2 linked regions of the Pelodiscus sinensis genome follow. The protein of the gene in region 1 purifies or fractionates together with the protein of each later gene. This does not show direct contact. Links are inferred from orthologs where the notes say so. Each region holds a gene or a part of one and is shown in the gene's direction. Other genes may lie near its edges.

Evidence for each region. The genes of interacting proteins can lie anywhere in the genome.
Region 2: the proteins of YWHAE (region 1) and CEP170 purify together in Homo sapiens (affinity purification with mass spectrometry; 3 studies listed by BioGRID and IntAct, with this or other methods). This does not show direct contact. The link is inferred for Pelodiscus sinensis from reciprocal best matches to the Homo sapiens genes YWHAE and CEP170.

The regions. Positions count from the first base shown.
Region 1 is NC_134731.1:1,405,433-1,413,030, reverse strand, and holds the start of YWHAE (14-3-3 protein epsilon), read left to right. Parts: upstream 1-4,592; 5' UTR 4,593-4,717; coding exon 4,718-4,781; intron 4,782-7,598. UniProt on the Homo sapiens protein: Adapter protein implicated in the regulation of a large spectrum of both general and specialized signaling pathways. Binds to a large number of partners, usually by recognition of a phosphoserine or phosphothreonine motif.
Region 2 is NC_134713.1:131,575,515-131,583,441, reverse strand, and holds the start of CEP170 (centrosomal protein of 170 kDa), read left to right. Parts: upstream 1-4,921; 5' UTR 4,922-5,061; intron 5,062-7,376; coding exon of another isoform or gene 7,377-7,431; exon of another isoform or gene 7,432-7,511; intron 7,512-7,623; exon of another isoform or gene 7,624-7,727; intron 7,728-7,777; exon of another isoform or gene 7,778-7,927. Other genes in the region: SDCCAG8 (serologically defined colon cancer antigen 8), read right to left, coding at 7,377-7,431.

The DNA.
Region 1 (7,598 bases):
AAAGGCTTATTCCTCATGGGGAGAGGAATAACTTGTGCAAGTCTTCTTTCCCGATGCTGTACTGTGAATTTACTTGTGCAAGAATGCGCATGCAGTGTAGACGCTCTGCCGTCTTGTGCAAAAAGCCTGCAGTGTAGATGTAGCCATGGTCTAGGAAGCCAAAGTCCTGCTGGCAGCACCATCTTCACAGCCAGGCATTCACCTCCTGTATGCATTTCTCTCTGGGACCCTACCCTTGACTGGAAGGTTCAAAGAGAACACCATCTATTCCAAATTCCTTCACCCGTACTCCAAGGCTACGTCTAGACTGGCATGATTTTCCAGAAATGCTTTTAACGGAAAAGTTTTCTGTTAAAAGCATTTTCGGAACAGAGCGTCTAGATTGGCATGGATGCTTTTCTGCAAAAGCACTTTTTGTGGAAAAGCGTCCGTGCCAATCTAGATGCGCTTTTCCGCAAAAAAGTCCCGATCGCCATTTTCACGATCGTGGCTTTTTTGCAAAAAACAAATCTGAGCTGTCTACACTGGCCCTTTTGCGCAAAAGTTTTGCACAAAAGGACTTTTGCCCGAATGGGAGCAGTATAATATTTCCGCAAGGAGCACCGACAATCTTACATGAGATCGTCAGTGCTTTTGCGGAAATTCAAGCAGCCAGTGTAGACAGCTGGCAAGTTTTTCCGGAAAAATGGCTGATTTTCCAGAAAAACTGGCCAGTCTAGACACAGCCCAAGAGCACTGTAGTTACTTCTGACCTGCTGAGGATCACACCTCAGAGTATCACTAGGGTCCACCTTGAACAGTTCCTTACAATTTGGGTTCAATACTTATGGAAAACATCCTGTGCCCCCTTGTATTTAGCTATGACATGATGCTGTCATTTCCCACAATCCCTCCGGAACAGAAGAGTTCTGCAAGTTGCAGAGCAATAACCATGGTGGGGCAAACTGGGCACAAAGTCATGGGGGGCAGAAAAATTATGAAAAAAACCCCAAAAACTGGAAGAAGGCACAAACTGTCTTGCTTTCCCCAGGTGCTGAAATGCCTGGTGATACCTCTGGGAAGCTTGAAAACTCATCTCTCTGGTTGGGGGCCAGGTCTACCTTAGTGAGCTTACAGCTACACAGCTATACCGGGACAGGGCACTCTTCCAGCCACACGGCACCTTCTCCAATGAGCCCCAGGAGCTGTGTCTGCTGAAGATCACCTCTGGATGACATAGCTCTGTCCACGCGAGGGCTGCTGTCTGGGGAACTGATGTCACTCTGACAAAAGTGCCCGTATAGACACAGCCACTAACAGAAGTGGGTCCAATAAAAGAGATGTTCTCGCCCTCCTTGTCTTGGTAATTGTCAGTGAGTAGCACAGCCATTCCCAGCGCATAGAGCTCAGTCCAGGGCTACCACAAAATGCTATGGGGCAATAAACTGGCAGTCAGGACAAAAGCCTGGGTGTGTGGGCATAAACCAACAGTCAGAGTTTAGTGTAGCTACAGTGTCATGTAAAACCACAGCCTGATGCCAATGGCCCCTACCCCCTCCAGGCTCTGTGTGCCGGGGACCCTACCCCCTCCAGTCTCTCTGGGCTGGGCCCCCCACCACCTCCAGTCCCTGGGCCGGGCCCCCCGCCCCCTCCAGTCTCTCTGGGCCGGGCCCCCCACCACCTCCAGTCTCTGGGCTGGGCCCCCCGCCCCCTCCAGTCCCTGGGCTGGGCCCCCCGCCCCCTCCAGTCTCTCTGGGCCGGGGCCCCCCGCCCCCTCCAGTCTCTGGGCCGGGGCCCCCCGCCCCCTCCAGTCTCTGGGCCGGGCCCCCCGCCCCCTCCAGTCTCTGAGCCGGGCCCCCCGCCCCCTCCAGTCTCTGAGCCGGGCCCCCCGCCCCCTCCAGTCTCTCTGGGCCGGGCCCCCCGCCCTCTCCAGTCTCTCTGGGCCGGGCCCCCCGCCCCCTCCAGTCTCTCTGGGCCGGGCCCCCCGCCCCCTCCAGTCTCTCTGGGCCGAGCCCCCCGCCCCCTCCAGTCTCTGGGCCGGGCCCCCCGCCCCCTCCAGTCTCTGGGCCGGGCCCCCGCCCCCTCCAGTCTCTGGGCCGGGCCCCCCGCCCCCTCCAGTCTCTCTGGGCCGGGCCCCCCGCCCTCTCCAGTCTCTCTGGGCCGGGCCCCCCGCCCTCTCCAGTCTCTCTGGGCCGAGCCCCCCGCCCCCTCCAGTCTCTGAGCCGGGCCCCCCGCCCCCTCCAGTCTCTCTGGGCCGAGCCCCCCGCCCCCTCCAGTCTCTGAGCCGGGCCCCCCGCCCTCTCCAGTCTCTCTGGGCCGAGCCCCCCGCCCCCTCCAGTCTCTGAGCCGGGCCCCCCGCCCTCTCCAGTCTCTCTGGGCCGAGCCCCCCGCCCCCTCCAGTCTCTGAGCCGGGCCCCCCGCCCTCTCCAGTCTCTCTGGGCCGAGCCCCCCGCCCCCTCCAGTCTCTGGGCCGGGCCCCCCGCCCCCTCCAGTCTCTGGGCCGGGCCCCCCGCCCCCTCCAGTCTCTGGGCCGGGCCCCCGCCCCCTCCAGTCTCTCTGGGCCGGGCCCCCCGCCCCTCCAGTCTCTGGGCCGGGCCCCCCGCCCCCTCCAGTCTCTGGGCCGGGCCCCCCGCCCCCTCCAGTCTCTGGGCCGGGCCCCCCGCCCCCTCCAGTCTCTCTGGGCCGGGCCCCCCGCCCCCTCCAGTCTCTCTGGGCCGGGCCCCCCGCCCCCTCCAGTCTCTCTGGGCCGGGCCCCCGCCCCCTCCAGTCTCTCTGGGCCGGGCCCCCCGCCCCTCCAGTCTCTCTGGGCCGGGCCCCCCGCCCCCTCCAGTCTCTGGGCCGGGCCCCCCGCCCCCTCCAGTCTCTCTGGGCCGGGCCCCCCGCCCCTCCAGTCTCTCTGGGCCGGGCCCCCCGCCCCCTCCAGTCTCTGGGCCGGGCCCCCCGCCCCCTCCAGTCTCTGGGCCGGGCCCCCGCCCCCTCCAGTCTCTGGGCCGGGCCCCCCGCCCCCTCCAGTCTCTGGGCCGGGCCCCCCGCCCCCTCCAGTCCCTGGGCCGGGCCCCCCGCCCCCTCCAGTCTCTGGGCAGGGCCCCCCGCCCCCTCCAGTCCCTGGGCCGGGCCCCCCGCCCCCTCCAGTCCCTGGGCCGGGCCCCCCGCCCCCTCCAGTCTCTGGGCCGGGCCCCCGCCCCCTCCAGTCCCTGGGCCGGGCCCCCCGCCCCCTCCAGTCTCTGAGCCGGGCCCCCCGCCCCCTCCAGTCCCTGGGCCGGGCCCCCCGCCCTCTCCAGTCTCTGGGCCGGGCCCCCGCCCCCTCCAGTCTCTGAGCCGGGCCCACCGCCCCTCCAGTCCCTGGGCCGGGCCCCCCGCCCCCTCCAGTCTCTGGGCCGGGCCCCCCGCCCCCTCCAGTCTCTGGGCCGGGCCCCCCGCCCCCTCCAGTCTCTGTGGGCCGGGCTCCCCGCCCCCTCCAGTCTCTGTGGGCCGGGCCCCCGCCCCCTCCAGTCTCTCTGGGCCGGGCTCCCCGCCCCCTCCAGTCTCTGTGGGCCGGGCCCCCCCGCCCCCTCCAGTCTCTGGGCCGGGCCCCCGCCCCCTCCAGTCTCTGGGCCGGGCCCCCCGCCCCCTCCAGTCTCTGGGCCGGGCCCCCGCCCCCTCCAGTCTCTGAGCCGGGCCCCCCGCCCCCTCCAGTCTCTGGGCCGGGCCCCCGCCCCCTCCAGTCTCTGAGCCGGGCCCCCCGCCCCCTCCAGTCTCTGGGCCGGGCCCCCGCCCCCTCCAGTCTCTGGGCCGGGCCCCCCGCCCCCTCCAGTCTCTCTGGGCCGGGCTCCCCGCCCCCTCCAGTCTCTCTGGGCCGGGCTCCCCGCCCCCTCCAGTCTCTGGGCCGGGCCCCCGCCCCCTCCAGTCTCTGGGCCGGGCCCCCCGCCCCCTCCAGTCTCTGGGCCGGGCCCCCGCCCCCTCCAGTCTCTGAGCCGGGCCCCCCGCCCCCTCCAGTCTCTGGGCCGGGCCCCCCGCCCCCTCCCGTCTCTGAGCCGGGCCCCCCGCCCCCTCCAGTCTCTGGGCCGGGCCCCCGCCCCCTCCAGTCTCTGGGCCGGGCCCCCGCCCCCTCCCGTCTCTGAGCCGGGCCCCCCGCCCCCTCCAGTCTCTGGGCCGGGCCCCCGCCCCCTCCAGTCTCTGGGCCGGGCCCCCCGCCCCCTCCAGTCTCTCTGGGCCGGGCTCCCCGCCCCCTCCAGTCTCTGGGCCGGGCCCCCCGCCCCCTCCAGTCTCTGGGCCGGGCCCCCGCCCCCTCCAGTCTCTGGGCCGGGCCCCCGCCCCCTCCAGTCTCTGGGCCGGGCCCCCCGCCCCCTCCAGTCTCTGGGCCAGGCCCCCGCCCCCTCCAGTCTCTGGGCCGGGCCCCCCGCCCCCTCCAGTCTCTGGGCCGGGCCCCCGCCCACATTACAGGGCCCCGAGGGGCCATCCGCCCCCATTTCCCAGGCGCCCCACGAGCCGCCCATCGCCCCCCAGCCAGGCGCGGCCGGGCAGCAGCCAGGGCCCCACCCCTGAGCCTCTCCTCGCGCCGGTTGCCAGGGAGCCGCTGTTGCCATGGCGGGGCGGCCGAGGCGCATGCGCGCGCTGGCGGAAGTGCCCGGATATAGCAGGAGGAGGCGCTCCCGCCGCCATCTTTGCCCGTAGCACAGAGAGCTGGTCGCGGCGGAGCATCCCGGACTCATCCGCCTCCATCCAGCCCGCGCCGCCCCCGCCGCCGCGTCTCTCGGACATGGACGATCGGGAGGACCTCGTGTACCAGGCCAAGCTGGCCGAGCAGGCTGAGCGCTACGATGGTGAGCGCCGGCCGGGCGGGCGCCGGGGAGGGCCGGGGGAGAAGGGAGGGAGCGGTCACAAAATGGCGGCGGCTGGGCAGGGGGGCAGAGGCGGCCGGGGGGGGTACGAACAAAATGGCGCCTGGGGTGGCCCCGCGGGGGCGAGGCAGCCGGCAGGGGGGCGCAGGGCCGAGGGGGCCTCGCCCGGGGGGGTCAAGGCGCGGCGGCGGCGGGGAGCCGGAGTAAAATGGTGGCTGGGAAGGGCGATCCCGGGGGTGGGGCAGGGGAGCCGCCCCCTCGCGGGCGCCCGACCCCCCCCCCCGCGCCCTTTCTCGTGCCCGCCAGCGCGGGCGGGGTGGCCCCTCCCCACGGAGCCCTGCCCAGCAGCGGGCCCAGAGGGAGGGTCCGGCCTGGGGGGGCCGGGTCACGTCGCCGCAGTCAATCTCCAGCCACCCCGCTGCGTGTGAAAGGGGGGCCTGGCCCCTAGGGGGGCCCTTCTGCGCCTCCTTCCCAGGCCTGGCCTCCTGGGCGCGCCTCCGTGTTCTGCCTGCCCTAGGCTGGCACTGTGGCTCTTTAGGGTACGGACCCTTCGGTCTCTTAGCTCTCCCGGCACAGGCCAGACTCAGGTACGTGCATCTTATTAGCCTTAGGCTTCAAATGATCGTGAATGGGAATATCAGGCTTTTTGAAGAGTCGGGGGGGTTTCTTTAAAGTTCATGGGCTGTGCTGATTTACATATTTGTAGGGAGTTCAATATCCCTGAGCATTGAGGTGGTTCTTTCTGAATGAACAGTAGGGTAATATATGCAATTGTCAGGGTCTGACACAATCTGCTTGTCATGCCACACCCTTGCTACTTATTTAAAACTAAATTAGATTCCTAACTGTTATGCTTGCCAATAAAACAAACTGAATGGGACTGTGGTGTAAACCTATGGGATACTGGCCTCCTGAGCTGTCATCAGTCCATTCCCCTGCATCAGTTGCTGGTCCTGTCTTTCCCAAGTGACAAGATAAAAAATGATCAGGATCTTTCTTACCATTACTGTTCAGAGCACCCCTGGAGGCAGTAAAACTGACAAGAATTAGGTCAGCTTTTCTCTGGAGTGGCTACCATTAGTAATGTGCCAACACTGAAGAAATATATATATTGGGGGGGGGGGGGCACAAAATGGAGCCCCTAAGAAGAAATACAAATAAATGCTGTCCTTTGGAATAGCCATGAGTCTGGGGAAGTGTTAGAGCAGTGGCTCTCAACTAGAGGCCCATGTACCCTTGTGGGAGAGGGGTGTACATAGGGGTCTTCCATGGGCGCCTCAACTGATCTAAATATTTGCCTAGTTTTTATGTAACCAGTTGTAAGGGTACTAGCAAAGTCTGTACAAACTAAAAGTCACACAGTGACTGGCTTGCTTTAGCTACTGTACACCAGAGAGGTAAGTGTAATGGTTATATTCCAGCTAACTCATAACATGTAAAAATGAGAACAGTTTTTGAGTAATGACATGCTAGGACACTGTATTCTTGTGCCTCATTATTTGTAAAGCAAGTCACTTTTAAGTGAGGTGAAACTTCAGGGTATGCAAGACACAGCAGATGCCTGAAAGGGATTCAGTAGTCTGGAATGGTTGAGAGCTACTGTGATACAGTAATTCAGAATTCACATATTTTTTCCCAGTACAGTCAGTCCCCGGGTTAACGTACAAGATAAGGACTGTAGGTTTGTTCTTAAGTTGAATTTGTATGTAAGTTGGAACTGGTACAAATTGTAGGGGAAACTCTAGCCAAACATTTCTCCAGAGCTCAGTTTTATTCTCCCACACCTCACTTCCCTCAGTCCTTTATTCTCAAGCTGAGGTGTCTGCTGAGAAAAGCCGCTCCGGGTCTCCCTGGTCTGCTGGGGGGGGGGGGGGGGCGCTAGCTTCGAGTCTCCCTGGTCTGCTGGGGGGAAAGAGCTAGTGCAGGGTTGCCTCACCCCGTTTGTAAGTAGGGATCCGATGTAAGTCGGATCCATGTAACCCGGGGACTGCCTGTAGCTGGAGAGGGGTTTAAAACATATTGGCTCTCTGCTAGACCATGGCTGTGCCATACGACTTACTTGTCAATGCTAGGTTTCCTGGTATATTAGCAAATTGTAGTTTAGATGCAGCTTATGTTGGCAAAAACACTTTTTCCTGGTATAACCACATCAACGTAAGGGTTTTTGATGGCATATCTGTGGTGACTGGCGATGCTGGGAAAACTTACAAGAAGACAAGGCCCAATTTTGAGCCCCCGTGCAGGGTCTAAACAGCATTGTGATAGGCATTCTAGCATGTTTCTGTGGGGGGAGGTGGCTGTTTTTTAGGAAGATGTATGCATCTGCATAGCATTCCCATGGTATTTCTTCTTAGTGCCTGGTAATTTTTCAAATTCTGTTATGACAAGGGAGGGAAACAGTTTTTGATGGTGGGGGCATTCCAAGGTTTTGGAAGTGGTCAAGGGTCGCACTTGTGTGTGGAAGAGGTGTGGGGCTTGGGACTGAGGTTGGGTGCAGAAGGGAGCTCGGGGTTACAGTATAGGTGAAGAGAGGGTGTGGGGTCTGAGAAGGAGTTTGGGTGAAGGAGGAGGTTGTGACATGGGGCAGGGCATTGGGGTGTGGGAGAGTGGGGTGTCGGATGTAGGCTCTGGCTGGGAGACACTTACCTAGGGATCTCCCAGCCAGCAGCAGCTTTGGGCAGGCTTCCTGCCTGATGGTCCTAGTGGGGTGGGCTGGCAGTCTTGCCTGCTTCTGTAGTCTAGGCATCTGTAGTGTGAAGCAGCCAGTTCTCATGATGATTAGGATATTAATTTGTTGGA
Region 2 (7,927 bases), on another chromosome or scaffold:
TTTGTTAATCCTTGACTGCATTAATTGCAGGAATTAACACATCAATTGATAGCCTTATAAAACACTATTTTAAAATGTATGTGTACCTCTAAACTTGAAACCTATATCTGAGTTGTGAAGAATATCTATTAAGATTATAGCAACCAACAAGGACACACTTGTATGTAGAGAACCCATGATCATATCAAATCTTCCTGACTAATGATTTAAATCAATTTTATTTAAATCAAATCCATCCTGGTTTGATTGATAACTAAAATTCCTAGAGGTGACAACACTTCAGGTACTAATTATGGACTTATATCTAAAAATACTTACTACCATGAACAACTTCATAGATTTCCTATATTAAAATACAACTTCAAACATTTATTTTAAATAAGTTAACACTTCATTATTTCAAGATACTGTATCACCTTTTTCAGGTTACAAACCATTCCTTTTTTAATTATTTTCTTGACCAGCACCTAGAAGAGGACTTTTAGTTTTCCAATATAATCTTTATTCCTTCCCACACCTCACACCACAGAGAGCAGAGTGCTTAATTGGTCAGCTGAAACTAACTGAACTCATGCTCTTAATTTTTGATAACTAAACTGTTTGAAATGACTATCACGTTATTTTAGCTGCTGTAACTGTTGGGTGAACTTTACATGGAACTACTATTTAATACTACGTACGTGAATAGTTAAGTGGTGGTAAGCTACATCCTTACCAGGCAATGCTTACCAATTATGGTTATCCAATGGGGGCTGGAATAGCCCCCTGTCACTGTGGGCTGGTTCATCCCCACAGAGCCTGCGGTGGGCAGGGGTGCTCCAGCCTAGATGGAGCAGCTCCCGCCCGAGATGGGTGCCCCCCCCCCACCACACACACGCACCTGCCCCCATTTAATCCATTAACTGGTTAAACATAACATTTAAGCAGATAAATAAATGGGATTTTACATCCCCAAATCAAAAGATGGAAACAAGTAAAATTTAAAAATGAATCAGAAAGAAATTAGAATAAAAACACTTCATAGGAGGTGAAAATGTATAATGTACCCTATGTACTCGATCATAAGTCAATTTTTTTTGTTAAAAAAAAAATCACACCATAAAGAGCGGTGGGTCATCTGTGCTACTACTTTATTTTATTTTATTTTTTTTAACTGGGGGGAGGGATTGGCAAACCTCAGTTTCCAGCCCAACAGGGCAAGCCACTGGCACGCTAGCATGTTTTACATACCTGGAGCATCTGCAGGAACAGAGCTCCTCAGCTCCCTCTGGCTGTTAGCTGTTCTGGGTCAACGGGAATGACTGCCAGACCATTCCTTGGCCCACACTGCTTCCTGCAGTACCCATTGGCTGTGAATGGCAAACAGCAACCAATGGGAGCTGAGAGGTTCCATGCCTGCAGATGCTCCAAGTACACAAATGTCTCAACAGGCCAACAGTTTGCCCTGCTGGGCTGGGAACTGACCTCTTCTCCTGTATTTTAAAAGTCAGAATCGAAACATAAGTTTTAGAACTTTTATTTTAATGCATCTAACCAAAAAAAGTATAATAATTGAACATATATGAACTCATATGGACTAATTTCGAAGAAATGTTTTAAAATCTCATATTCTAATGCATTTAAAGTTGTAAAACCTTTCAAACTCTGAATCAGTCTCCAATTTACCAAACAGTTCATTAAACTCAGCTTCAGTCATAGCTGCTCCTGCATTGTCATCAGCAATGTCATCCTGATTGCTTATCAGCCTCCATTGTGTCACGAGCGAATGTGGTACTGTCTTCTGACCCATCAAGCATATGGCTGATGCAGCGTTTCCAAAATGATTTTTCTATAATTTCTAAGAGAATGGACTCCCACGCATCCTTGACCACTGGGCAACCAGATTAATTTTGGGCTAGATAAGATTTCCGCCTTTTGTCAATTTCACCATGCCTGACCACATCCAGTCAGATCACATTTTGCATAGCCGGTCTTTAAAGGGATTGTTCAGGCAGACATTAAGGGATTGTAGAACAGAAGTTAGACCTGCAGGTATTACAGTTCAAGTAATTTTCATTTTTTTGGTCACATGCTTCACCTTATCCAACCTATGTGCCCTGAACATGTCCCATACAAGCATAGAAGGTTTCTAGAGAAATGTTTCTCATCACTGAACACTTTTTCCAAACAGTCAATAGTACCACTTTCATCCATCCATCCCTTCACATGTGCACATATGAGGATACCCCCATGAAATGTCATCGTTTTGGACAAGGTTTTTCTTTTCAAGAAACAGAATAGAGCCTTAATCCATTGGCCATATATGATAAAACTACTGTAAAAATGGATTATTTTTCATGGCCAGTGGTTTTAATTAAGACTGTTTTTTCACCAACACTAGTTACTCTTCTTTTGCTCAGAAGATCAAATGTCATCAATGTTTCATCCATATTTCCTATTTGTGACAACTCCGATTCATATTCCTTTTGATATTTTATAATAAATCTTCGGAAAGATTCAATTTTTTTCTTCCTGGTCTCTCAGCAGCTTTTGTGCTATCTTTGTTTATTGCTGAAGATAGAGACCTTGACAGTTCACGAAGCTAGTATGCCAAACTGTTGATGTGACAAACACCTATGGCTTTTCTGACTCGTGTGTCATCTTTTGACATTTGGAGAGCACACAGACAAATTCCAGTTCTAGTGACAAGGTACGCATTTTGTCATCATTCAACAACCCAATCGTTGCGACTTTTCCAGCCCAAGAAATGAAGCAAACCTTGTTGGACATTTTTTCTTGCTTCTTGGTATGTTTTTTAGTGTTGCTTTATTTTTTCACCATTCTCCTACCTGCTTCTCATTGATGCAGAATTTTTGAATAGCAGCACAATTATTGTTTCCTTTGCATATTCAACAAATTCAAGTTTAAATGCTGCATCAAACAGATCATTTTCTTTTGATTTCAACATTCCTCATTTTAAATGCTAGTATGAAAAAATAACTCCAGCACCTCACCCCCTGTCATCTAGAGAGTTCCAGGGTGGGGTAGCACCTAGCCCAGTGGCAACACAGGCCATGAGGGGGGTGATATTCTCTGTTCCATCAAATCCCCTTGCTTGGGGCCAGTCAAGTCCCGAGGGTGCCAGACCAGTGAAGTCCAATCTATATCAAGATATAGTAGACTTCCGATAATCCGGAACCTTTGGGACCTAGGTGGTGCCGGATTATCAGATATCCCGGACTCTCAGGAGGTACTATAAGATGGTTATATATATACACACAGTATATACTGTATATAAAGTGTTTTTAACCCTTTTTATTGTAGCACAAGCACTGTTCAGCATCACACAATACCAGTGGCAGACTGATTCAGTCCCGTCCGGTTTTGCTCGGTTCAGCTGCTGCCGCTGCTGCCTTGTGACTTGTTTTTTGCCGAAGATCACTCACTAGGCTCTTCTCATTTTGATGTAAGACTATCGGGAGCGCCATACAATGCGATGCCGGACTAAGTCTACACTGCCATGATTTTCCAAAAATGCTTTTAACGGAAAAGTTTTCCGTTAAAAGCATTTTTGGAAAAGTGCATCTAGATTGCTTTCGCAGAAAAGCATCCTGCCACTTTTTGCGGAAAAGCATCCGTGGCCAATCTAGACGCGCTTTTCCGCAAAAAAGCCCCGATCGCCATTTTCGCGATCGGGGCTTTTTTGCGGAAAACAGTACTGTGCTGTCTACACTGGCCCTTTTGCGCAAAAGTCTTTCGGAAAAAGACTTTTGCCCGAACGGGAGCAGCATAGTATTTCCGGGAAAGCACTGACGATCTTACATGAGATCGTCAGTGCTTTTCCAGAAATTCAAGCGGCCAGTGTAGACAGCTGGCAAGTTTTTCCGGAAAAGCTGCTGATTTTCCGGAAAAACTTGCCAGTCTAGACACAGCCCTGGGCTATGTCTACATTGGCCCCTTTTCCAGAAGGGACATGGTAATTTTTGAAATCGCAATAGGGAAATGCGCGGGGGATTTAAATATCCCCCGTGGCATTTAAATAAAAATGTCCGCCGCTTTTTTCCGGCTTTTAGAAAAGCCGGAAAAGAGCGTCTACACTGGCCCCGATCCTCCGGAAAAAGCGCCCTTTTCCGGAGGATCTTATTCCTACTTCAAAGTAGGAATAAGATCCTCCGGAAAAGGGCTTTTTTTCCGGAGGATCGGGGCCAGTGTAAACGCTCTTTTCCGGCTTTTCTAAAAGCCGGAAAAAAGCGGCGGACATTTTTATTTAAATGCCACGGGGGATATTTAAATCCCCCGCGGATTTCCCTATTACGACAGCTGAAATTAACATGCCCCTTCCGGAAAAGGGGCCAGTGTAGACGTAGCCCTGGAGTTTTACTGTACCTTATACCATTTTAGCTTAATTGCCTTCCCATATGGCAGTAAGCTTTACCAGTACAAGCACATTCATACAGTGGAGAAAGAGGGCCCAGTACCAGGGATGTTAGATAGCAGGTAACAGAATAGTTGACTAACCCCATGAAGTCTTAGTCAACTATCCTATAGTTCCAGGGGCAGTGCCAGCAGCCAGTGTGTTCTAGCCCCACTCCCTGGGCTGCCACCCCATGCTGCTGCCTATGTTTGTACAAGGGCTTGATGGAAGGGGGGAGAGGCAGCTGGGGGGGGGGGAAATAAGCAACAGCCCTGGATAATCAGGGGCAGCTGAGACAGGGCTGCTCTAAATCAATTAAGGGGCAGGTGAACTGATTTCAGGCTGCCACAGGACCTCTTTAAAAACCTTTCCTGTGAGGGAGGGTGGAAGAGAGTGGAGAAAAAGTTTGGAGAGTGGAGGTGGAAAGGAGCTAACAGCTGATAGGCAAATCAGAGGAGCTGAGCAGAACACCATCAACACTGCTAAGGGCTGCAGGAGGAGGTGGCAGGCTCCAACAGGGAGTGTTTGGAAGCTTCCTTCCTTCTAGATGGCCAGAAACTTCAGTTGGTGGCTGAGGAGGACTGTTTACTCAGCCTGACTGGCTGAGGGCATCGGCCTCAACACCCCTTTGTTTTGCCAAAGGACAGAAGGCCAAATGCTCAGAAAAGGCAAGTGGGACTTGTACCATGTCCACTAAACTGTAGGATAATGGGCAGAACAGGGGCCTGGGAGCCCGAAGTAGGACTGACCCTACCACAGGGTTCGTTTCAGCACCACCAGACCCTAGTTGCTGCTGCTGGGGCAAGTGCCAGCCTCTCCTGAGTGAGCGCCTTAAATCCATGGGTGGGACCACAAACCGTTTCCACATTCTCTCCTTATTTTCCCTACCAACTTGAGGATCCATGCCTACCACGCATATCAAGAGGAGATGCTGTGGGTTCCAGCAGGTAGGCCCAAAAAAGTGCGACTAGGGAAGTAATGGTGTAATTAACCGATAAGCAAAAGCTCATTGGTTAATGCTATGGATTACATGCACTTCCCCTACCTCCCCCTTCTGCCAGTACTTTTTTTTTTTTTTTTTAGTGGGCTAGCCAGCAGCCGTGCTCAGTCCCAGCTTGCAGTGTCTGGGACCTACCTCACTGCAACTCTGTGTTTAAAATGTATTAGGCGCTGGGCTGGCAGGCAGGCAGCCTGGCTCAGTCACAGCTCACAAGCTGGGTTATGTGAAGGTTTAACAAGGGAGGTTAGATATTGGGTAATTGAATAGCTGTGTAACAACATAAACTTTTTGGTTAGATCTATTCTATAGTCCTGAGGGGTGGCTCCTGGGAGCCCCCTGCCACCATGCGCTGCTGCCTCCGTATCAAAGGCAGTAGCATAGGATAACACAGCAGTAGTCCCTGACTTCGGGGGTCCAACCTCTCAGTGGACAGAGGCTGCTGCAGGGGGGAGGGGGAGAAGAGAGGCTAGGAACTGAAAAGGAGGCTACCATGAAGCAACTTGTCTGTGGCAGTCAGCTGGCCAGAGGCTGGTCCAGCAGCAGCCCCTTTCCAAGCTCCCTGTGGACGTGGGCTGCTGCCATAAAGCAGCCTCTGTCCACAGCCACCTTGGGCCGCTGCAGACAGAAGCTGCTTCGCGGAACGCAGAGCAGCCTCCATCCCCCTGTGGACAGGGGCTCCTTCACAGCAGCCTCCCCTATTCCCTTATGCCGCTGTGTCTCAGGCAGCAGCACATGGGGGAGGGGGAGTGGTAAGGGGAAGGTGGCATCGCAGAGCTGGTGCTGGAGGGTGGGACTGGCTTTCAAGCTAGCTCTCCACCCCAGCTGCCTGTGATAGAGGCAGTGGGGGAGGGAGAGAATGTGAGTAGTCAAGATGAACTGAAAAGCCTAGGCTTATCAATTAATTCTATAGTCAACTACTCATTGACATGTCTAGGCTTAACCAGTTAACTGGTGGGGCTGGAATAGTGGGCTGCTCCGGACCCACTGTGGTTGTGGGGGGACTGCCACGGACAGGGGCTTCTCCAAAAGTTTCAGCTCTGGGCAGGGGGCTCAGGCTTAGCTTCGGCCCTGAGTCCCAACATGTTGAATGCCAGCATGGAGACCCTATTAAAATGGGGTCCTCGGCTACAGCTGGGTCATATTGCAGTGACTCTGTGCCTCATACAGTGCAGATGCTCAGGTTGTCAAGGCTCCTTAGCAAGTGAGAGCAAATGCACTGGTGAATTTACTGTCAACTATGACTTTGGTCTGGGGTTTGGTGCTACTAGAGCTTCTATAGTGGGGGGGGAGGGAGGGAAGGGAAAAGGAAAAGCCACAGGTAGTGCTCTGAAGATGCACTACCCCCCCCCCCCCATGTTCCCAGCCAAAATTGTAATGGCTACATGGGGCAAGGCTACATGGGGAGCCCCCACATACCCTCTTCCTGCCCCTCTAGGTTCCCTTCCCTTCATTCTCTCTCCTCTTCCCCCCTCCAGGGGAGAAGCTGTCAGGTAAACAGCTGATTTAGAGCTCTCTTTGCCAAAATTAGAGAGTAAGGGGGACCGGGGTGGAAGTTTGGTGCTAGGGGCACAGGGTGGGTAGAGTTCTGACAGCAACGGGTTCAGTCACCGGGGAGATCATAATCTGGTTCACTTGGCTCAACAGGCTGGGATGGTTAGAACAGTATAAAGGGGTGTCGGCACCAGTCTACCCTTCTCCAGTTCAATTTTTAGCAGACGTGGTGAGCAGAGAGGTGGAGAAAACGGCGCAGCCTCAGGCAAAGAAGCCACGTAGCCAATTGTGGCGGTGGGGCAGCGGCAAGAAAAGGGGTCGCACGCACACTAGTGGCCACGGTGCCAGCAGCCAGGCGGGCCGTGCGGCGAGAGGAGCTGGGGCAGCCAGTAGTGGGGGACAGTGGGCACGGCGAGAAACCACTCAGCTCGCGGGGAGCTGGCACTGCCAGAAGAAGGGGGCAGGCGGCGCTGGGACGGGGATCCCGCTCACCTCGCAGGCTTTTCTGATACCGCTCCAGGTCGGACTCTTCCCGGGCTTCCCGCATACGGACAAGGTCCGCGTCTCTCAGCGCCAGGCGACACCGCACGGGCTCCGCTTCCCTGTCCCGAGTCAGCGTGTGAGGACCCAGCCTTTCCCTCCCGGCTTCGCCGCTTCCAACAGCGCTCGGGAGCCGTAGTTCCGTGTCGTTCGCCGTCCCATCCCCCACAGCGGGCGGCAGCTCTTAGCGGAACTACGATTCCCACACGGCTTTGCGGCACCCACCGCCCCTTCTAACCTCAACCCGTGTGGGAGCTCGTTGCTAACCAACTAGGAAAACGGTCCCGTCGGCCCCCAGCTGAGGTGAGTTACTCCCTTTCAGAGCTCCGCCCTTTAATACGTCTCGTACTCACGTTGCAGCGGTCTCAGACTACGTCTCCCAGCATGCAGCGCGCGTCCTTCTCTGGGCCCTCGGGAGTTGAAGTCCCTACGAGCAACGTCCTCCCCCACTTTAGAAGAGTTGTTGCGGCCTCGGTCTCTTTCCCTTTGTATGCGGTCAGATC